Linked DNA regions of Saccharomyces cerevisiae S288C. Changing the gene in region 2 together with the main gene of any one other region gives a genetic interaction. Each region holds a gene or a part of one and is shown on either strand. Other genes may lie near its edges. The genes, in order: RAS1, CIT2, AGC1 and YAT1.

Region 1 (3,739 bases), on a different chromosome or scaffold from region 2:
TCATGTACTACTAAATTCTACAATATAAACAAGTTGCCAAAGCCTGCTGGTTGGCAAAACCATATCGGTTGATTATACTGTAATCAGCCCACGTTGTCTTTGTATTTTCCACTTTTTTTATTTATACTATTTAAAGAAACAGAATAAATTATAACTCTTTTTTTTACATATCACATTTATATTTACTCCATTGCGTTACAAATATGAACGCTTCGACAACAACGCCAAGGAAACCGGGATAACCCAACTGATATTTTCTACCATACACTGAACGAAATTGCAGAACCAAAAAATAACAAAAAGTTCCCAAAAGGAATGCCAGAAAAAAATGGGAGGCAGGTCCACCTAACAAAAATTTAATCATATGCCATACTTCTTGAACAGTGAATGAGTCATCTCCACACCTAAAAATGTGGCCGCATTGGCTGGGAAAGATCTTAGTAAAGCAGGACCTAAACCAGGGAAAAATCCCTTGATACCACCTCTTTGTAGATAAATTTCCTTTGTGGCGGAAAGCATATTCTGCCTCGTGGAGGAAGCCTGCAATTTTGTCTTTATAGTGTCTATGGGGAAAACAGCTAGCCACATCGACATACCAGCAATACCACCAGCAAGACACACGTTCAAGATATTGACCGGTTCATCTTTGCCCGCATCTTGACGAGGTTGCCTACTATTCAAGTAATTTTTTGAAATTTCATAAGATGCAAAATATAGAGCTGAGCCAGGCCCATCTCTTGCTAAAGTGGCTAATGAACCTTTAAATAAAGAAGCTATGCCACCTTCTTTAACAATGGTTTTAGCCGCCTGAATGAAAGAGCCCTTAGAAGATGTTTGCAGGACAACCTTTACTCTTTCCGTTGGCGCAGTCACTAAAGTGGTAGGAATAGCGCTGATAAATCCTGCTGCAGCCATTTGTCCCATAGTTAACTCGTTACTGCCTCCTTGCTTGTTATTAAAAGTAACCAGTTTCTTACCCACATCGTAACCCCAGAAAGAAACAGCGAATATGGGAGTAACACCTAATAAGGGCGGGATAACACCTTTATAGAACCCCTTTACGGAATTGGTAAATAATGTGCCCTTTACTTGAGTTTTTGCTTCTTTTATAATATTTGTAATGGCATGTACCGTGGAATTCGCTTGTCCATTTTGACATCTCACTTTAATCAAATCGAAGGGATGACCCGTAAACACCGCACATACCCCGCCAACTCCACCGGCCACAAATGATTTGATATTTTCGCGTACAGGGTTTGATTTTATAGGTGGACGAGACTTGGTCAAGCTCCCACTCTCTTCTTTCAATAATGAAGATTCTGATAATGAAGTGTCTGAAGACATTACTGACACGATGACGTTTGTGGAGGATAAGAAAGTCGTACAATACGTAGAATCCAAGGAAAACCTGGAATAAAAACACACATAGAGCGCAATTGAATATCGGCTATTTCTACAGTACAAGCGTCTGCCTATATATGCGCTTGAAATATATCTATTTCGACTAAAGGAATTATACCATCATGCATCTTTACTCTTAAATCTCCATTTGTCCACCGACTTATTGCGGCAAGTGGAGATCCAGTCACGCCGGATGACTGGGTGTAGATAAATAGCCGCCCAACTGATCCCTGCATAAAGCTTATATGCGGATATTAGGAGCAGTAACCCGATGACATTAAGCGTGTAGCCACAAGGAACTTCACCATTACTCATAGCAGAAAAAGCAGTGACCAAAAAATGGCAGGAATGACTCTTTTCTGTTTCCCCTCATATACACTGAAACATCTCGATATAAAGCATGCCCTTTATTGTACCATCAATGCAATGTAACGGCAAACGAGGCTAGGAATATGTATTACCCGCACTGAATTGCTTCTTCACTTAGCACACCCTTGATCGCTATGTTCTACGCTGCTACCCGTTCGGTAGGGAGTGGCGGGGAAATTCACATTGGCACAATGTAAACCCGTAGGAAAAAAAAAAAGCACGAAGAAAAAAAAAGAAACCAAAAATATTTACTACATGTAAGTCTATGGACATTTGACAACAAACTTTTTCAACTCATCGCAAGATTATGAATTTTTCACGGCTTTTCAGGTTTTTTCCTCCTTTTGTTTTACATTGAAAGGTTTATATTTTATGTCTTTGTATGGTTCTCTTAATTTGGATTCTTTCTTGTACGGTGTCTCTATTATCATCTGTCTTGTTCTTTCTTGCAATGCTTAATTAACTGCTGCCACAATTGACTTCGGTTTGGCTATTTCACGATTGAACAGGTAAACAAAATTTTCCCTTTTTAGAACGACATGCAGGGAAATAAATCAACTATAAGAGAGTATAAGATAGTAGTTGTCGGTGGAGGTGGCGTTGGTAAATCTGCTTTAACAATTCAATTCATTCAATCATACTTTGTGGACGAATATGACCCTACTATCGAAGATTCTTACAGAAAACAAGTTGTCATCGATGACAAAGTATCCATTTTGGACATTCTAGATACTGCTGGACAAGAAGAGTATTCTGCGATGAGAGAACAGTACATGAGGACTGGGGAAGGTTTCCTACTGGTCTATTCCGTCACCTCTAGAAATTCCTTTGATGAGTTACTGTCTTATTATCAGCAAATTCAAAGAGTAAAAGATTCTGACTACATTCCTGTAGTCGTGGTAGGTAACAAATTGGACCTTGAAAATGAAAGACAAGTCTCTTATGAAGACGGGTTACGCCTGGCCAAGCAGTTGAATGCACCCTTTCTAGAAACGTCTGCGAAACAAGCCATCAACGTAGACGAGGCCTTTTATAGCCTTATTCGTTTGGTAAGGGACGACGGTGGGAAATACAATAGCATGAATCGTCAACTGGATAATACGAATGAAATAAGAGATTCGGAGCTAACCTCATCTGCAACAGCGGATAGAGAAAAAAAGAACAACGGGTCTTATGTACTCGATAATTCTTTGACCAATGCTGGCACTGGCTCCAGTTCAAAGTCAGCCGTTAACCATAACGGTGAAACTACTAAACGAACTGATGAAAAGAATTACGTTAATCAAAACAATAACAATGAAGGAAATACCAAGTACTCCAGTAACGGCAACGGAAATCGAAGTGATATTAGTCGTGGTAATCAAAATAATGCCTTAAATTCGAGAAGTAAACAGTCTGCTGAGCCACAAAAAAATTCAAGCGCCAACGCTAGAAAAGAATCTAGTGGTGGTTGTTGTATAATTTGTTGAAAATGATCCTGCTCTCTTGATATGACATGGTTTTGATTGCAAGTCTATTCTTACTTGTTCAATTGGTTTCACCAGCATCTTTTTGTATCCATTTTCCTATGCTGTGTATCTAGTAAAAGAGTTGCTTGCCACCAAACATTAATACTAATGGTTAATCTGCCACCTTTTGTAAGCTTTCTATAATGTACAATTGTAATATGTTCTTTTATTCTCGTACAAAGTATATATACTATACACATACAAGCATGCATGCAAGCACGCCGGCAAACCCTTCCTCAATTTATAAAATGTAAACAAACGAAATGTAAAATCAAACTAGCAACAATAAACTCGGCAAAAGCTCTGTTTTTAGAAATGCCTGGAAAACTATTACACAATTGTAACCGCAAACTCATCAATAGGACGAATTGTCCCACACAAATAATGAATCCCGCTAAAAACGCATTGAATGGAAAATTATCACGGATCAAGATAATGAATGTACACTGGATCACCCCTAA
Region 2 (5,845 bases):
ATTTCAAAATATTAGGAAATGATATTATTAGTACAAGGACTTACAGAAATATACTTTTAATATAAAAAGGAAAAAATAAAATAAAAAGAGTTAATTCTTTATTAATTTTCCAACGTCCTACATTGATATATCTGCTGAGATAGAATTAATGTTAGTAAGAACTAAATATTAGACGCGAACTGTTGTTTCTTACATGACAGTACAGCAGGATAATAATCCTTTGTCCTCCTTCTTTTCTGCAGTTGTAGCTGCTGCAGGTTTAGTTTGTCTCTTAGCCGCATCAGAAGTAGTGGTCTTCTTTTCAGTGGAGGGCTTGGCTTCTTTTGCAGGGAAAAGTTTTTTGGCGGTTTCGTAGAATGTTTTACCTTGAATTTCAGCAATTCTCAATTCAAGTGGAGACGCAGTTCTTGAGCCGTCAGGTCCTGCAAGGGTACCAGCACCCCATGGAGAGCCACCGTGTACCTCTTCTATACTGGCTAACTCAGCAAATGAATTCTTATAACCCAGTGGTAAAAAGATAATTCCGTGATGAGCTAAATAAGACAAACAGGCTTTAACGGTACTTTCTTGACCACCTCCGTAACTGGAAGTACTAACGAATATCCCCGCAGCTTTGCCGTTCAAAGAGCCCTTGGCCCATAATCCACCGGTTTTATCCCAAAAGGCGGACCATTGAGCCGGCAAATTACCAAACCTAGTTGGAACACCGAACAAAAAGGCGTCATATTCGAGCAACGTTTTCTCAGTGGCAACAGGAATATCTTCAGGTTTCTGAGGAGCGTTCATCTTGGTGAGGACTTCATCAGGTAAAGTTTCCTCGACCCTGTATATATCAGCTTTACCACCAGCTGCCTCCACACCTTTCTTAACAGCTTGGGCTAAAACGTCTATGTGCCCGTAGGTAGAGTAAGTAATTATCGCAATCTTTACCATTCTTATAGTGCTTCAATTGAGTCTGTATTGTTTTGTTTACTCTCTTTTTTTTTATTGATACTAACCTGACCCCTCTTTTCCTTTTTCCTCTTCTTGTTTTCTTTCTGATAAAGTTTACAAACTTCAAATAAAAATGAACGTAAAACAAGTAAAAATGTAGGATGTTATAGTATCAACTAGCTGCCGGAATAGTGCAAATTGTATGAATCGAAATAAGTACGCTAGCCAAGGCAGTAAGGCCTAATGCCCTTAGGCAAATTTATTATTTATATTAAGTTCCAAGAAGGGGAAGCGCCTTCTTTCCCCGCAGTACAGTATTTTACCCGGAGGTTCTTAATAAGTTATTACTAAAAGGGTCATAACGGATTTATTAATAATGGGATTATAAAAATAATGCGTGTGTACCTAGTTATCGCGTGATAGCTTCCGCAATTTTCCAACCATTAGTAAATTTTATGTAACTAAAACGAGGAAGGAAATAGTAACGTTCATTTTCTTAATTATAAATATCATTATCATAGTGTATGGTTAAAAGAATATATTATTGTATTAAATAAGTGCTAAATACTAAATGGTCATGAGGAAAGAAAAATATGCAGAGGGGTGTAAAAGTAGGATGTAATCCAACTATAGTTTGCTTTCAATGTTTTTGACCAATTCCTTGTATTTCTCAGTAGAATAGGACTTTGGCCTTTCAATGGAAGCACCGATGGCCCTATCAGTGATCAATTGAGCAAGAATACCAAATGCCCTTGAAACGCCAAATAAAACGGTATAGAAAGAAGATTCTTTTAGTCCATAATATTGTAATAAGACACCAGAGTGAGCATCTACATTTGGCCATGGATTTTTGGTTTTACCATGTTCAGTCAATACGCCAGGTGCTACCTCGTATATTGATGAAACTAACTTGAATAATTCATAATCTGGAAAATGGTCCATGGCAAACTTACGCTGAGCCATATAACGAGGATCAGTTTTCCTTAGCACAGCATGACCATAACCGGGAATGACTCTTCCTGAGTTTAGAGTATCCCATAAATATTTTTCGATCGTATCTTTAGAGTAGTCATCATTTACCTCTTCTTTAAGTGCAAATAACCATTCTAGTACTTCTTGATTAGCACGCCCATGAAGTGGGCCAGCCAACCCGTTCAAACCTGATGCAAGGGACAGATAAGGTGATGATAGTGCTGAGCCCACAAGATGGGATGTATGTGCAGATACATTACCACCTTCGTGATCCGAATGAATGGTTAAATAAAGTCTCATCAAGTCCACGAAATCTTCATCCTTAGAACCAATCAAGTTGACCAGATTTTTAGCATAATCGGCATTTGGGTCCACTTCACCCATTTTGCCATCTTTGAATACATTACGATAAATTTTAGCTGCAATAACTGGCAATTTACCCAGCAAGTCTAGTGAATCTTCAAAAGTATAACTCCAATAATCTTGCTTGGAAATTCCTTGAGCATAAGCCTTAGCAAACTTTGACTCGCTTTCCAAGGCAGTTACAGCAATAGAGAATTGAGCCATTGGGTGTAAGTCCTTTGGTAAATTATCCAAAAGTTGAACGACATGACTAGGTAGTTCCGATCTTGACATTAGATCAGCTGATAAGTTTTCAACTTGCGCTTGAGTTGGAACCTCGCCAGTTAGCAATAACCAAAAGAGAGCTTCTGGTAGTGGTTGTGAGCTTCCTTTTGCCTTGGGCAGGTCCTTTTGAATGTCGGCGATCGTACGACCTCTGAAACGAATACCGTCTTCTGGGTCCAAAACGGAACCTTCCCATACGCTCCCTGGAATACCTCTCATACCACCATATACCTGTTCTAATAGAACATCGCTAATTTTAGTTTTGCCATGCTCTTTAACGAATTGCCTTACATCTTGAGCATGGATGGGGTAGATTTCGCTAAATCTCTCTTTTAGAGTCTTTTCTTGGCTTGAATTTGATTGTAAATATGATGCAACATTTCTGTTTGAATTTAGATAAGGAACTGTCATTTTTCTTGTTACTAGTATTATTAAAACAAAAAGTTTTGAGAACCTGTTATGATATGTGTTGATATTGTTCCCTGAAACTTAATAATGAGGAACGAACACCATATCTAAAGAACCAAGTTTTAATAGTCTTATATACGCTCAACGTCGAGAATAATGGGCCCTTTTGAGAGCATGACTATCTTTAGATTAACGTCACCAATTTCATACGAATGTAACGCTCAAAAGGTAATTGCGCTTACCATTGTTATTGTTTTTCCGCTGTGCCTCCCATTGCTGACGCCCTGATAGACGTCTAGCTACGGAAAAGGTCACACTTTTTTTCTGCAAGAAAAAATAGGTCGTGACCTCTTCGCCCCTAGTCGATGACCACCGGATAAATGCGTCGAATGTGCGCGCTATTAGTTTGCGCTCTTTTGAGATACCGCCAAGCCATTGATTGAATGACCCAAGGACGGATTTGTTCAACACTCCAAAGCGGCTTATGTTGTGGCAACAACTCTGGGGAAAGTCAGCGCAATGTTTTCCCCTAAGGATTCGCGCGAGCCGTGTGTAACAAAGTTCCGCCGGTATAGCATATCTAAACCACAGAAGGACGCTTATACGGCCGTCTTCCACAGTAATTAGAAGGACATTAGTCGGAGTGTAAATAAGACGGTTGCATACGCGTATGAACATGGGCCATTCATTTTACGGAAATGGCAACACATTTTCTTGTTTTTAATGTAAATAGTACGGAGTTCCTTTTTGGTGCGCTGAATGTATGCCGTAGTTTGGTTTCTTGCCAGGCGTGAGAAGAGAGGTCACACATGCTGTTGGGGTTCATGATTTTCAGCCTTCGCTCTGCTAAGTAAAAGGTCCATTGATCCGAAGCGCTTCCTCCAATATCGCAGTGATAAACGGTCATGTAAGCCTACAGTCTTTAAACTGTAGATGATTTAATGGATTATCTCATACATTGAATATCACACTTCAGCAGTTCAAGTTTTCATTAACATTGGTCTTCTCCAGCTTACTCTGTAAAGTCCGCTGCAGTTTTCTAGAAATCATAATCTGTACCTCCATTCAGCCATCTGAGGAACCTCCGAAATAACGAGTAAATGTTCAAACATGCCATGCGCCTTGGTTTATTGTACGAGTTTTAGCATATTGCAAAAAAAAACTGCTCCTGAGTACACTTGTTTTACGTCGGAAAGATAAATGCCGTACCATTTCTGCCAGTAGCGACACCACACATTGTAAAAACAATGTGGGGCGAGCCGGGACTCGAACCCGGGACCTCCCGCACCCTAAGCGAGAATCATACCTCTAGACCACACGCCCTCCTTTGAAAAATCCCGGCAGAACAGCGCCTGAAGTCTGGGATACAGCCCTATTTTCCCTGCCATCGTCATTGACCTTTTTCTTAACGACCAGATTAACAGCCAGTTATTGAAAGTTTGCGAACGTGAAGTAAAACTGCAAAATGGTCGTTTTAAGTCAAAAGTAACCCTGCGTCACACATGAGAAACATTATCGCTAAGTTGTTGTTACTACTTCTTGTAATTAACTTACTGTCGCATTCCAAATGGACTGCGAAACAGACACGAAACAATTACGAAAGTGACGACAGAGTAAATATTGTCATTAAAGAGAATGATGACCTCCGGGTAAACTGTGAGAATAAGTCTAGACCATTCGTTAAACTTCATCTTTAATTGAGAAGCATAGTAAAAAATAATTAACAAGTTAACACAACTATCTTGACCCATGCTACCAAGGACATAAGTAATATCCTCCACCACTTTTACTCAAAGTATATCTCATTCTGAGAAATGGGTGAATGTTGAGATAATTGTTGGGATTCCATTGTTGATAAAGGCTATAATATTAGGTATACAGAATATACTAGAAGTTCTCCTCGAGGGTCTAGGAATCCCCATAATGGAATCTATATTTCTATATACCAATATTACGATTATTCCTCATTCCGTTTTATATGTTTCATTATCCTATTACATTATCAATCCTTACACTTCAGCTTCCTCTAACTTCGATGACAGCTTCTCATAACTTATGTCATCATCTTAACACCGTATATGATAATATATTGATAATATAACTATTAGTTGATAGACGATAGTGGATTTTTATTCCAACACATTCGAGCTAGTATAAAATTGTGAGGAATTATCGGGCATCTTGTTTATTAGGTACGCAAATTGTAATAATTGCCAAGTTGTGCTTTTTAGTTGAGAAGTATTCCGTCCTCATGAAATGGCTAATATAAGTATGGATTTCATAAATATTATCCAAAGTAATTATACACACTTGTTTTTTGCTATGTCTTGGGTTTAAGAGAAAATGCTACATAGACCGTAAGAACGTCTTCAAGAATGCAAGGATGCTGCAAGCGAAGTTGTTCCCGTTATGAAGCAGAAAGGGCACATCAACATGGTTCAAAGATTTAAATTTCGGCACTTGTTCTTGTTCACTATATGTTTTAAGATTCTTATCGTGCAAGTATTCAATTATATCCTCTAAGTGACCGAACAATCAACACATCAAGATTTTTGTAGTTTTGAAGTTCCACAACCTACAGGTTAGTGCTATTTGGTCTAATTTATACATGGGAACTATGTGAAACAGTAATGTTAGCACAATGGACCTCTCAAAGCCTAAGAAAATTTTGCTGGGGACAAAAAGTGGTTCTTGATGGTAAAGAAGTAGTTTAGCTTCATAATAATTTCTTTGTAAAATTTTTCTCGTAGCACACTAAGCTTTCAGAAATCAAATAAGGCAGAGGAAGTGGTTTTGTCGTATTCAATGACTAATTGTAAGACTCGAGTATAACTTATGCAGTTTCCAAGAAGTAAGCAAACAGTTTCTCTCAACCTTTGGTGACACACTATGCGCATGCAAGTCG
Region 3 (7,289 bases), on a different chromosome or scaffold from region 2:
GAACATATTTCTCAAGACGACGTGCTACCAGTTGAATTTTTAACGATGTATATTAGTTATGCAAAGGAGCACATACACCCAATAATCACCGAGGCCGCTAAGACTGAGCTTGTTCGTGCTTATGTAGGAATGAGAAAGATGGGTGACGATTCGAGATCCGATGAGAAGAGAATCACAGCTACCACAAGACAACTTGAAAGTATGATTCGTTTGGCTGAGGCGCACGCCAAAATGAAATTGAAAAACGTCGTAGAGCTGGAGGATGTTCAAGAAGCCGTTAGATTAATTAGATCAGCCATAAAAGATTATGCAACAGACCCTAAAACCGGTAAAATCGACATGAATTTAGTTCAAACAGGTAAATCAGTTATTCAGAGAAAACTACAGGAGGATTTGTCAAGGGAAATTATGAATGTTTTGAAGGATCAGGCATCAGACTCAATGTCATTCAATGAGCTTATAAAACAAATCAATGAACACTCTCAAGATAGAGTTGAGTCTTCTGATATCCAGGAAGCCTTGTCAAGATTGCAACAAGAGGACAAGGTCATTGTCCTTGGCGAGGGTGTAAGGAGATCAGTTCGCCTGAATAACCGTGTCTGATGCTGTCTACTACAATCATTCCCTGCGTAACAATTAATAAATACTAATTAATTATAGCAAGTTTGTATTTTTTACATCCTTATGCTTTGTAACACTATTCAATACTGTATGTAGGCTCGATTGAGTGGGCGGCTTTTTTCTTATTCCTGATTGGCTGAAAGAAAATATTGTTAAACGCACTAAATTTATCCCGAAGGATGATTACATTTAAAGACCGAAAAATGAAGATGCAAAGATCCCTCATATTTTCTACTCCAGTCCAAATCGACAAGATAAACCTGCCGATAAATCATATTTCAGAACGCTAATCAATTCATCATGCTAAGCAGGATCCAAAATTATACCAGTGGGTTGGTTTCTAAAGCAAATCTTTTGTCATCAAAGGCTTTATACTATGGTAAAGTCGGTGCCGAGATTTCAAAACAGATTTATTTAAAAGAGGGTCTTCAACCACCAACTGTTGCCCAGTTCAAATCAGTGTATTCGAACCTTTATAAGCAGAGCCTAAACTTTGCTCTAAAGCCTACAGAAGTTTTATCGTGTTTAAAAAACATCCAAAAGAATGAACTATTAAAATATGGCGCATATGGTATTCAGTTGATAGGGTTTTATTCTGTCGGTGAAATAATTGGAAGAAGAAAATTAGTGGGATATAAACATCACTAAGCTTTTTAATTCTATCTATTCGCAAAACCCTTGTATATTCGTTAATTAAATTAAATCAATGTACAAATAGAACAAAACTAGAAAAAAGAATATATATTCATCTCAATTCTATTTATTTTCTTTTCATGACATACAATGGCATTAAAAGCGATATCGAGTTATATTACATTAGCTTCTTGCCGCCAGTTATTTATGAAATAGGCCAATATAACTTTTCTGTAAAAAAGAAAACTTGACCTCAGAGCTTTCATTACACTTATTAAGAACAACATACTTGTTGCACTATAGTAAAAACTACAGTGAAATTGATCTCAGGATCATTAGTAATTTTTCTCACTATAAGAAAAAAAAAAAAACATATATTTTGCTATGAATTATAATAAGTAAATATATACATATATATGTACAGAGAAACTGACGAAGAAAATAAATCACCCGTTAATGCTTCTTAGGTGCTCTTGAAAGTTTTTATAAACTGAAGAGTCAAACCTAGAAAAGTTATTGTCCAAATCAATGAATGTTTTCGCAATTTGACAGCTTTTATAGTAATAATTGGCATGTTTTCTATCATCAGAGTAAAACTTTTGCTGTGGGAGTTCACCGTTACTATGAACTACTGTCTCTTCATTGCCTGCGTCGTCATCGATACAAAATCTCTTCCTACCCTCTCTGCTTTTTAATTTGTTATCGGGGGAGGGAATAAAGCCCTTGAATAATTCATAGGCGGCCAGAGTGAACCCAAATTGGGGAGAACTTCTTAGGACACGGGCTCCACCACCTTTGAAAAAGCTTCTAAAGCTCTCTTCCTTTAAGATAGTTCGGATAGCATGAAATATACCGTTATACTTTGTCTCACCTTTTCGAGGATCTATCTGGAGCCTTGTTTTTATAACATCAAAAGGAGTAGTCAAGAAGGCAGCTGGCATACCAGCAATGGCACCGGCAGTTAAAAGCTCCCATGTTTTTAATCGATTCCTCTTTGTTTTATCATTTGGATCAAAATCAAAGAGATCTTTTTTTAAATGTGCATAAGTGGGAAAATAAATAGCAGAGAATGGAACATCTCTCATTAAACATGCGGCTACACCATTGTACAAGCCCCTCAGTCCTAATTTTTTGACTATTTGAGTGGCAGTTTCATTGGCTTGTTGTATGTTTTCACCAACATAGTCGGATTGGACCTGTAGCCTAATTTTTACAATCTCTAACGGATTAGTAAATATAACTTGACATGCACCAGCTGAAGCGCCAGAAATAATTTCAGGAAAAAGGCTTAGCTTGCCGTTTTTATCAGTCAACCTGTTTCTCATAAAATCATTGACAGTCAATTTTATCGCCTTTTCAGGAGCAACTCCTATTAATTGTGGCCCTAAGCCAGAGTAGAGACCTTTTATTCCTTCGCGGGATATAATCTTCAACAAACAATCAATTGAGTTTTTGTATTGGGCTAAAGATCTTTGGGCTTGCATCCTTGTTTTTATAAAGTCTATTGGGTATACTACAGTTGCACCAATACAACCCGCAATAGAACCCAAGGAGAAATTGTACAACGAATCGAAAATTGGATAAAAGTAGTAATTAATATACAATGACTCATTTTGATTTTTTTGCAATTCCATTTGGTGAACTAAGTCGTTCAGGTAATTTGGGTTCAAAATTTTCATGAAATCTTCAATTGTTAAGTCAGAACGCATCGTTGCTTTATCTTTTTTACCTCCAAATACAGATTCAAACAAGCCAGTACTCGCTTTTGAAGCTTTTTTAACACCAGAGTCTTGGTCAAATCCATCCGAGAGATCATGATAATAGTCATTAAAACTTTCTAAATTTTTTCTGGATCTGCTTACTCCATGCAAATACTCATTATGGATAAAAAAATCAATATCTGAATCATAATGGTGATCATTTAATAGCTCGTCATCTCGATCTTGATTTCTCTTTCTTAATCTTCTGTTTTCCTTTGAATTTGCGACGATAGAAAATAGTAGGTTGATTTGGGAAGGAGAGAACTCAATGATATTGTTTACTTTGTTATACTGGGCGTTTAAAACTGTCATAAAGTCATTTTTAGTAACTATTTGTTCCCTAATATCCTGCTCATTCAAATTATTTTCAGTAACATACTTGTGAAATATTTGGTTCAGTAGGTCAAAATTTTGAAATAAATAAAATATATCCTTGAATACATTGTACGGAATGGAATTATTGTCCGCTTTTAGTAATTCGGTGTTTGATAGATTCAAGGAGGAAAATATATCTGCAGACACCCTGTGAGAGTAAAATAACCTTAGAAGATAGGTGAGTTGATTTTTGCTTAGGGCTAAACGATGCCCTTGTGAGTCCATCTGTGCCAACCTATCAAAACCTATAAATATTTTTTCATTCTTAAGATCATTTTGTAAAATCGTGACCAGAGAGTTTAAACTCAAATACTCTTCATTTTCATGATAACATTTGTAAAATTTCAGAAATCGAAAGTCATTCCAATCAAGTAGTAATTTGTTATCTTTAACAAAATTATCATCAATAGATTCGTGCAACAGGCGGATAGTATCTTTGAATTGGTTCAGATTCAAAAGAAGATCATCAAAGCTTAGAAATCTGTTACCATAATTAATTGACTTAATTCGATCATCTGCAGCCTTTAAATTAAACGACGAACTACCAAGCTCTTTTTTTTGTTTTGCCTTCAAATTCTCTACATCAAATTTCCTAAAGAACTCATATAGAATAATGAGATGATAATTATCATATTCTAATAAATTATTAAAATAAAACCAATCATTAAGCGTCAGATATCCCTTGTTTTGTTCATCAATAGCGAAGAAAATACACCCGAAAACGTTCTTGGGTATCTGGTTCAAATTGAACGAATGGTCCGTAAACTTCGAATAAATAGTCTTTGAGCTAGATATCAGTTCAATGAAATCGTCGTATGTTAAAATTAGTTCTCCTGTAAGCTTCTCCGTGTCAGGTTTCCCATTTCCTGCTGTGAGTTTACTGGAGTTCACTGTCGGCATATCTAACATACCATTACTGATACTAATAGGCTTGTCCTCTTTTGTAAGGACACTTGCAAAATATTTGAATACTTCCAATTGTTGCTTCTTTTTTCTACTGTTCGAATTGATTTGCTCCATAATAGTATAATAATTCTTTAAGGTCGGTAGCAAAGCTGCATACTTTCAAACTACGCTATGAAAGTTATGTACTTTTCCAGTGAAATATGTTCACAAAGAAGGGATCAGGCTACTTCGAAAATTATGGCAAACGCGAGGTTGTGAGATAAAACTTGAAAGTCTGGTGAGATTAGATATCAAATCTTAACATATAAAAGACAGGTTCGTCTTGAGGTATTTATCTATCTTCGAAATATTTTTTTCTTTGCTTCGAATACTGGTTAATTCTGAGATTCAATATATGTTTCGAGATGTTTTTCCAACATGCCGGCAGTACTCCCCTAAAGCGATGCTGCAGAAATTTTTCATAACCGCTTGCAGTGGGATGACCAATAAAGAAAGCTCTTTCTCCTACGTAAAACATAGATCATACTTACATGTAAAATATGAAGCGCAATTATATACAGTGTCGATTTTATTTAACAATTTCACAGCTGGCAGTTTACAAATGTTTTCATAACCATTTCATTAATCTAACAATAAATATGATGATTTACCAATATACGAATATAAACTAAACATCAAACATGTTATGACAAGTGGGTGACGTTTTCCCTAGGCTCCTTTCCAAACAATTATCGAAGAGTTTTCCGAATTCGCGCCCTAAATCCCAGTAGCTCTTGTTGAAAATATCTCTCATAAACTGCATCATCCCGCATAGAAAGTGGGTATTAGAAATATGTTGAAGTAAACTCGCTTTTGCCCAAACGTCATTCTGAAAGCTAACTACATCGAGTGAGCTATCCACATATAAGTTCCGATACATTCTCAATAGGTAAACTTCAAAACTTTCTATTGGAATGTAATTGTTCTTTTCCTTTAAATTGTTGTTTGCAATCGTCGATCCATTATTATCAGTATTGCCTAGAATGTTTCCACCATTGCTGTCATCTGGTTGAAAGCATTCATCCTTTGAGGCTTCTGTATTATCCCATATGCTAACTTCACAGCCATGTAATGCAAAATTACAAGACCAAATTAGGAGTGAAGTTAATGCAATCGCATAGGGTCTAGTAATCACAGGATCAGAATTTATATTGTAGCTCTTCACTACGGTTGGAACGTTATTTTCCTTAATGATAAACATTTCAAATAAGAACTGGAAGGCATAGACTACAGCTACACCCCCATTGTAGGGGTCCTTAGCGAACTGGAGAATCCTGCGACTGATCATGTCATATTCATCGCGACCAATTGGTACATTCATTCTCCAAGGTGCTCCTGCATATATGTAATAATCATGATGAAGAATACGTAGGACAATTTGAGAGATATGAATAACGGGAATTTTACAATTTGACGGATTATCGGAGGAAAGCAAGTCCAAATCATCATCACATAGTCCATCTCCATTATCCTCGTCAATTTTTCTGTTCGTTAGTGTCTCCTCAGATGGAGTACTTATCCTACATGCTTTCGGATCAGTGCAGCTTTTCTGAACTTCGTGAAGCCAATAGTTCATTGCAAATGATAAAATATCTTTCCATGAAAGGCCTAAATGATCAGTGATTCCGCCCCTAAAGTTAGTAATGAAATAGTCACCATTAACTTCCTCTTGACATTGAAATAAGATCGAAATTATCCCCGCCAAAAGAATCTTTTTACCAAAAAGACTCTGAATATTCCAATCTGTAGTGCTTTCCAAGTCTGTAGGGGTACTCTCTATTCCACCATTGTTGACTTTGTTTCTCCGTATATTATTATTTCGTAAGATTTGAATGACATTTTTCATTAATTGCATTAACGCAGACAAAAATGTATTATTCTCATCTCTCTTTGTGCTGCCATACCCATGCTCCATCAGAGTTTCATAGCTCAAATCATAAGATTCCCACACTTGATCTGGACAGGGTAAAGTTAGTTGAATCTGATTGCTATTAATAAATAAATTCCAGTATCCAAACACTACAGCATGTGTAGTGTCCATATAAAATGCGTAGAAAGCTATTCTTTTCAACATTTCAAAATCAATCCATCTTTTATAAACTTCTTGTGGGTCTTGAATTGAATTTTCCCCAGAGGTTTTGCCGGTTTTGACCATTAAGGGATGGCCGCCTAAAGAGGGCGTTCGCCTTAGCAATTGAATGGTCGTTCCGTGATGTAAAAAAGACCTTTCATGTAAATACCTGTTCGTACTTGTTTTTTCATATCCTTCGACTAATAATAAACTTTGAATGATGTAGGTTTTAGAAGGTGGTTGAAAATCAGCATGAGAAAAAATTATCCATCTTAGAGGACCACAAATTGGGTCACTAATCTGTTCACGATACTCGCTTCCCAAAAAACTTGCGCCAGTCATAATTAGTGCCAAATTCAAAATTGCAGGCTGTTTATCAACGTGAAAAGAGGGTTTGTGAAGCAGACCGTATTGTGGATGGAAGTTCAACCAGAAGGATTTTAACGATTTGTGTATAGATTCAATAGAGACATAGCGTAATTCTGGAACAAATGAAAACATTTCTTGACATTTTTCTTTTGATATCTTATACTTTGTTAAGGGATCCGGATGGAAAAATGACGGGACACTTTTCATAGAGTGACGCAACTGTTCCTTGTAGTTCAGAGAGGAATTGTTTCCTACTCCTGAATCTTTAGATGATCTCCGTTTTAGCTCGTTGATATTAAGCTTCTGACTGGAAAGATTGTCCTTCACTGAAGTACTGGGGTTATCGTTGAACTTCGGTTGTGCTTTGGGAATTTTAATGTTATCTTGTGGTAACTCAAACATAACTGGAGGATTCTGGAACCCTTCGTCTTGTTGAACAGGTTTTTCATTAGGTGGGATTGTATTCTTGTCAGAAAATGTATCTTCAATACTTACTTGCGGGGCTTCAGAAAGTT
Region 4 (6,571 bases), on a different chromosome or scaffold from region 2:
TGGGTCGTCTAGCGGCTGGAATTGTTTCTTTAGGAGATCTTGTAGGTTGGGGAAACTTCCCTGGCGAAGGGCGTCGAGAAGTTTCAACTTCAGCAGCGGCTTACTGATGGCCACAGACGATAGATCAGGTTGTTCCATGGTGTGTGGAGGGGTGAAAGGTGTACTTTGATGTTTAAACTTTTCCCTTTTTATTTTTTTTTTTTTTGGCAGTTTAATTTAGTTTGAGTGCTTCTATTTATCCAAGTTTTGAGTTTCCTTTTTCCTTTTTTTTTCTTTTTTTCCTTTCCCTTTTTGGTGCACGTTCGCTCGGCGAGTAAAAGAGGTAATCCAAACGACGGGATGAGATTAAATTACAGTCGCTGCTATTATAGTAGCCAGCGGCGGCGCCAGTCACTTCCAAAGCGTTTTCCTCTTATTTAGTATATTTAATAGTATGTAGTAGTAGTAGTAGTAGTAGTAGTAGTAAAAATAATATTGATGCGCAAAAACTCAGCATAAACTCAACCGGACACGCTCACGTCGAAGTAATCGTAGCCGGACAACAGGTATTTCATGTCTTCTGATTTGGTGTTGGCGCTAGCAGTGGTCCTGGCAGCGGGTTTTGCTGCGCGAGCTTGCTGCCGTTTGAAGATGCGGTCGATCTCCAGCAGCGACTTTTCCATGAGCGACGCAAACCGAGCAGTCTGGCGATGCCTTGAGGACACCACCACAGAGACGGAGTGGTCTCTGATGATGTAGCCGATGCCGAAGCCGTTGGCGGTGACAGGCCCGAACCCGAAGCTCTTGAGGCAGGGGTTACCGCAGTTGGAGGTGCTCAAGACGTTGTTCTGCATGGTAGTCCAGGACTTGTCGCGGAAGATGGGTGGGAGCTCCAACTTGTCCTTGTACCATTGGTTCCAGAGGCAGTAGAGCGCATACAAGTGACGGTCCTGGCCGAGCCCCTGGGAGCATTCCCTTGTGATTTGCGAGTGCGCCGTACAGGCGTCGTGCAAGAGCTGAATTTTGGTGGCGTCCGAGGCATCCTGGTCCAGTAGTGACTTGACAAAGAGCTTCGATTGGCCCGTGACGGAGCGGATGGCCTCTGTGCGGCCGTTTTGGAACGCCTTGGTCATGGCAGGCTCGTACACGGTCTCGAAGCGACCGTACAACGCGAAGTATGCGACCTGGAACACCTGCTGCACGAAGGCGTCTGGCGAGCACTTGAACACTGTCTTGATATGGGACGCGCCGTAGTTGGAGAAGTCAAGATTAACAAACTCGTATTGCGAGATCAAGTCCGAGATGCGCGTCTCGGCAAAGTGCAGCGACGATTGCAGGAAATTGTCAGTGCGCCATTCCAGTTTACGAGGGATGGTGATCAAGTTGGCGGAGTGAGCCGCCGAGGCCAACGACGACGACGATGGTTTTCCATCGTCGTCGCTAAAGATGTCGACGACGTTCTTGGTGACACCGCGTGCGAAGCTCAGGATCGAGTCTGTGTAGATGTCTGTGGCGAGCCGCAGCACAGTGTGGCCGTCCACACCGGTGTGTTCGAAGTTGATGCCCGCCTTACCGTTCTTGGTCACGATCAGTTGTAACTTGTCGTACCAGCGGTTGAGACAGGTGCCTGTCTGCACGTTCAATGGCGGCTGGTGTTGGTGCGGGTCGAGATTGATGGTAGAAGTCCCGCACAGCATCGAACGCGTGAGCTCGTCCTGCTGATCGGCGGCAAACGCCACGTCGTCGAGACAGACCACGAACAGCGCGGAGTCGATCAGCTTGAGATTGCGCCAGTTGGTGCAGTCGTCCGCATGGAACAGATAGTCCCTGATGTTGGACCACACCCGGCGCGACTCTGTGGTGAACACGCCAAAGGGCGCGGATCCGCTTCCGGCGGATTCCGCGTCCATGATGATCGAGTAGAGGTTCCACTCCAGTTGTTCTGGGGTGGCGAAGATGGGCTCGTTGCGTGTGTCCAGCACGTCGAACCAGTAGAACTGGCCACGATACATCGCCACCACGTGATGCGACGTGGCGTCTGTTTGCAAGTGGCAAGAGGGCTCGCCGGGACCCGGAGGGATTCTACTGGAGCCGAATAGCCGCTCATACTGGTCCATCGACAGCGGCGTTTTGCCGCGCACAGTGTCTGTGCGGAGTGTGCCGTGGCGAATCTGGCGGATGAACTTGAGAATAGAGGTGGTGAGTCGTGCGGCACGACGAACCTGCACCGTGTGTGCGCCATAGGGGCCCTGTGCCGCCGTCTCTGGTGTGTCTTTGATGGTTGGGTCGTCCTGCAGTTGGAAGTACGGGTTGACGTTGAGAACGACAGTTGCATCATATAGCAAGTACGCGTCATACCAGAACTGCTCGATGTATGAGGACTCTGGGTTGCTTTCCGCGAGCCGTGCGTCGTATTCTAGCAGCCGCTCGTGCAGCGTGTTCAATGCGTCCAGGTTTTCTGCGGAGAGCACAGTGCGGCGCGTACGGCGGTTTTGGCGCTCGTCCTGCAGGGGTTCCACGCGTGCCAGGTAGCGGTTGAGCGTGTCCTGCAGTGGCGGGATGGGTAGTCTCTTTAAGTTTGGCATTGTATACGGAAAGGAGGGGTGGGCGGGTGTGGTTATTGTCGTGTGGTTATTGTCGTGGGTGTGCTTCTATGTTATGTGTGTCTTGTATATATATGCGCGTTCCAGTTGACGCTGATACAGCCCGCCGGGCGGACGGAAAGTCCGCGGGGATGACCGCGGACCGCCGGGCCGATGACTCTAGTGCTGATGCTGATGCTGATGTTGTGCTATATGCTTTTTTTTAGCCGCTGATGACATATAGAGTCCAGATGGGGAGTCCTTTCAATCATGCTTTTCCTTGCCCCTTTACTTTGGACTATGCACTCATGATTGCCATTGTGACTGGAGAGATCGTGACACTGCTGATGGTTTTGTCATTCCGCACGTCCTACGTTTAGAAAGTAACGATGCCAATCTTCATCACGGTAAAAGTAATACGGGGTGGGGTGTTACTGATGAGAATTGGGGGAATTTTGAGATAATTGTTGGGATTCCATTTTTAATAAGGCAATAATATTAGGTACGTAGATATACTAGAAGTTCTTCTCGAGGATTTAGGAATCCATAAAAGGGAATCTGCAATTCTACACAATTCTATAAATATTATTATCATCGTTTTATATGTTGATATTCATTGATCCTATTACATTATCAATCCTTGTATTTCAGCTTCCGTTGAAAACGATGACTATTTCTCATCATTTGCGTCATCTTCTAACACCGTATATGATAATATACTAGTAACGTAAACACTAGTTAGTAGATGATAGTTGATTTTTATTCCAACAGTTACGTAAACCGTTATCAAATAAATACGCTCAGATTCAATTCTGATTAATTTTCATTGGGGCTGATGCTTTCGCTGCAAGTTGTCATAGTATTATTTATTTATTAATACCTTAGATTTTCTTGACAATTAACCAATTTTTAATCATTAAACTTAATAATATTTAATGCTACTGTACTTTTTATTATTATTTATTATTAATTTATTTATTCGTTCATCTTGTATGTAATCGTCCTCCGTTCTTTTCCCTTTACCGCTGGCTTGCGCGCGATGATTTCCACTAAAAGCTTGCTTGGAAATCTCGATCACCGACATACGCCCTGAGAATGCTTATAGGAGCTATTGAGGCGAAAGAAGTGGAGGGAAAGTAATATCCCGAGAACGAAAACGCAAGGTTTATTGTCATGAAAATGCAAATGCACCGTTGACAAAACCAACCACACGATTATCACGACTACTACCATAATAGGTAGGCAATGAACCACTTTGTTCAGCAAATGGGTCCAACACGAATCGACTTTTCGAGGCTTCCTTCGGCCGTTTTCCGGCCAGTTAGTGCTGATTATATATCATACTCTAGTTTATGTTCGCTTTACGTATGGTAGTGTCTCTAAGCTATTCCGTCTTTTTAAGAAGCGCATCGATATTGGGATGCCGCCTTCGCCAGTAATTTTCCTGAGCTTGTCGTTCGATCTCCGCTGCCTTGAGCAAAAAGTTTTGATAATTCAGTCTGGAACTAGGAGAAGCTGACTCGATGGCATCTTCAGGCTTAGCGGTGACCGGAGAATTGCCAATTGACGTGGCTGTTTGCTTCTTGGGGGTTACTCCCTCAACAAGGCGTAGAAAATAACGGTAGCAATCCTCATCGCTGTAAAAGTAATACGGAGTATGCCATTGCCCATGATTAAACAAATATTGGTTCATGTTGTATGTGATGATCCTCCATTCTTTCCCTTCTACCGCCGGTTTACGTGTGATGACATCCACTAAAAGCTCGGTCCTAAAATTTCGACGACTGACTAGCTTTGGATTACCATCACTTAATATTATTAACAAACCTACAAGAGAAGTAAAAGCAAATATTGCAGAATTGAAAACACAAGCTTCGTTGTCATTAAAAAATATAATTAATAAAACCAAAACCCCTATTACCAGGGACAAAATCATGACTGGTGTATAGCGAGCGATTTCATAGATCCAATAACTCAAGTACGAACGGAATATGTCCTTAGGAAGAGCCACATTTTTCTCAATTAAATGTGCACTAGGTTCGTTAAGTGTATCTAACTTGACGTCGGTACTTTCTGGAGGGGTCTGCATAGCCAATATATACCTTGTATTGCCTATGACTATAGTATTCCTGGTTGTTTCTGTGCCACTGCATACTGATCAAATGTTTCAATTACGCAGGACCCTTTTACGATTGTTTTTCATCTCTAGAGGCATTTTCAACATCGTATTTTCCGAAGCGTTGCATAATGAAAATGTGATAATAAGGCAGTGAGCTACTTTGTCACAACAAAGTACGAGAACAGATGAGGTTCCGTGGTGTTTTTGGGGCAACCGCACTATTTGGAGCGCTGTATATATTTATATCCTACTACAAAAAATCATAAATGACACTGAATTGGACACATGCTAGCGTCAAATACCTTGCCTGGTAAAGTTGTGTGCTAGTGTCTCCCGTCTTCTGTCTAAAAAAACTCATCGACACCAGGATACTCTTGTCGCCAATATTCCTTTTGAAATTGTTGTTCGATTTCGGCTGCCTTGGTGAGGAGCTTTATAAAGTTCGGTCCGGCACTAAAACTAGAAGACTCAGCGGCTTCGTTTGGTGTGCCAGCGGTTTCGTCATTTGATTGTGCGTCTTTAACATTGCTGGCTGACGATTCCTTTTGCTTCTTGAAAGTTCTTCCCTTAATAAGACTTAGAAAATAACGGTGGCAATCTTCATCACGGTAAAAGTAGTAGGGAGTATCCCATAGCCCATGATCAAATAAATACTGGTTCATCTTGTATGTAATTGTCCTCCATTCTTTCCCCTTTACCGCCGGTTTACGTGTGATAATTTCCATCAGAAGCTTAACTTTAAATTCCCGATCACCGATCGGTTCACTAAATGCAATTACAACCATGCATGTTCCTGGAAAGCAAAAGGAAAACAATAGTATCTCAAAGGCAACGCAAAATTCCGTATTATAAAAAAACACTAATAATAAAATTGAAGTCACAATAAGTACGAGCAAAATTACTGCCGCTTTATGACGAGTAACTTCATATATCCAATAACTTAAGTACGAACCGAATATGTCCTTGGGAAGAGCCACATTTTTCTCAATTAAATATGCACTGGGTTCGTCGAGAAAATCCGACTTGGCGTCGGTACTTTCTGAAGATGTTTGCATGCCCAGTTTATATCTTGTCTTCTCTATAGCTCTGCTATGGTGTTGAAGGATGTTATGCGGATCAAAATAGCGATCTGTCTTATACCAATTGAAACTTTTCATCACCTGCTTTTTACTTCGGAGGCATTTTTCATTCAATACTAAGTTCCGGAATGATACAAAATAAAAATGGTATTGAGGCGACATAAGTTGTTAGCACAGCAAAGATGGTTGCGGGTTAAGTTTTCTGATCGTTCTGGGAGAGTATTTACGTTAAAAAATAGGAATCAATTAAGCATAATCATGCCGTTTTGTGTGCTACATATCTGTTTCCCACTATATAAAGTCACGTTAGAATGCAATTTATCTAATTTACTACCCCATTTTAGCGTCAGTGGATTGGTAAATCCCTTTGCTAGCAAGGTACTGTCAGAATATTTCTCCTTCCTTTCAAATAATTGCACCAATATCTTGCCAATACTTCACTTGAGATTGTTCTACAATATCCGCTGTCTTGGAAAGCAATTTTGAAAATCTTCTCCGGGATTTAATGTGAAAGATTCGCCAGCTTCAGTCTCCTGTACATTTTCCTCAGCGTTGCTTGTTGGCTTCTCGAAAGTTCTTCCCTCAATAAAACTTAGAAAAAGACGGTGGCAATCTTCTTCGCAATAAAAGTAGTAAGGAGTACTCCATATTTTATGGTCAAATAGATATTTATTCATCTTGTACGTGATAATGTTTCATTCCCCTTTCACCGAACGCTGGCGTGTGCTTACCTCTAACGAAAGCCTAATATTAGATGCTTTATTGTCGGTCTGTCCCGGAGATGAAAAAAGAGGATAGAAGGGACATGAGAT

Evidence for each region.
Region 1: of CIT2 (region 2) and RAS1, extra expression of one rescues a mutant of the other (dosage rescue), as found in Saccharomyces cerevisiae (one study listed by BioGRID).
Region 3: of CIT2 (region 2) and AGC1, changing one enhances a phenotype caused by changing the other (phenotypic enhancement), as found in Saccharomyces cerevisiae (one study listed by BioGRID).
Region 4: mutations in CIT2 (region 2) and YAT1 impair growth when combined (synthetic growth defect), as found in Saccharomyces cerevisiae (one study listed by BioGRID).

The regions. Positions count from the first base shown.
Region 1 is NC_001147.6:512,935-516,673, forward strand, and holds RAS1 (Ras family GTPase RAS1), read left to right. Parts: upstream 1-2,309; coding exon 2,310-3,239; downstream 3,240-3,739. Other genes in the region: alpha-1,2-mannosyltransferase KTR1, read left to right, coding at 1-72; CRC1 (carnitine:acyl carnitine antiporter), read right to left, coding at 361-1,344; OST2 (dolichyl-diphosphooligosaccharide-protein glycotransferase), read right to left, coding at 3,515-3,739. UniProt on the Saccharomyces cerevisiae protein: The S.cerevisiae Ras proteins modulate the activity of the adenylate cyclase catalytic subunit and therefore affect the biosynthesis of cyclic-AMP.
Region 2 is NC_001135.5:119,386-125,230, forward strand, and holds CIT2 (citrate (Si)-synthase CIT2), read right to left. Parts: upstream 2,944-5,845; coding exon 1,561-2,943; downstream 1-1,560. Other genes in the region: YCP4 (flavodoxin-like fold family protein), read right to left, coding at 190-933; YCR006C (uncharacterized protein), read right to left, coding at 3,145-3,618. UniProt on the Saccharomyces cerevisiae protein: Peroxisomal citrate synthase involved in the citrate homeostasis. Catalyzes the condensation of acetyl coenzyme A and oxaloacetate to form citrate. Citrate synthase is the rate-limiting enzyme of the tricarboxylic acid (TCA) cycle.
Region 3 is NC_001148.4:598,949-606,237, forward strand, and holds AGC1 (citrin), read right to left. Parts: upstream 4,410-7,289; coding exon 1,701-4,409; downstream 1-1,700. Other genes in the region: MCM DNA helicase complex subunit MCM4, read left to right, coding at 1-603; ATP20 (F1F0 ATP synthase subunit g), read left to right, coding at 922-1,269; SDD4 (Sdd4p), read right to left, coding at 4,963-7,289. UniProt on the Saccharomyces cerevisiae protein: Calcium-dependent mitochondrial aspartate and glutamate carrier. Transport of glutamate in mitochondria is required for mitochondrial transamination reactions and ornithine synthesis.
Region 4 is NC_001133.9:186,186-192,756, reverse strand, and holds YAT1 (carnitine O-acetyltransferase YAT1), read right to left. Parts: upstream 2,565-6,571; coding exon 501-2,564; downstream 1-500. Other genes in the region: oxysterol-binding protein related protein SWH1, read right to left, coding at 1-138; YAR035C-A (uncharacterized protein), read left to right, coding at 340-420; DUP240 family protein MST28, read right to left, coding at 3,946-4,650; pheromone-regulated DUP240 family protein PRM9, read right to left, coding at 5,025-5,921; DFP2 (DUP240 family protein), read right to left, coding at 6,212-6,436. UniProt on the Saccharomyces cerevisiae protein: Involved in the transfer of acetyl-CoA into mitochondria. May also be involved in the metabolism of acetate and of ethanol.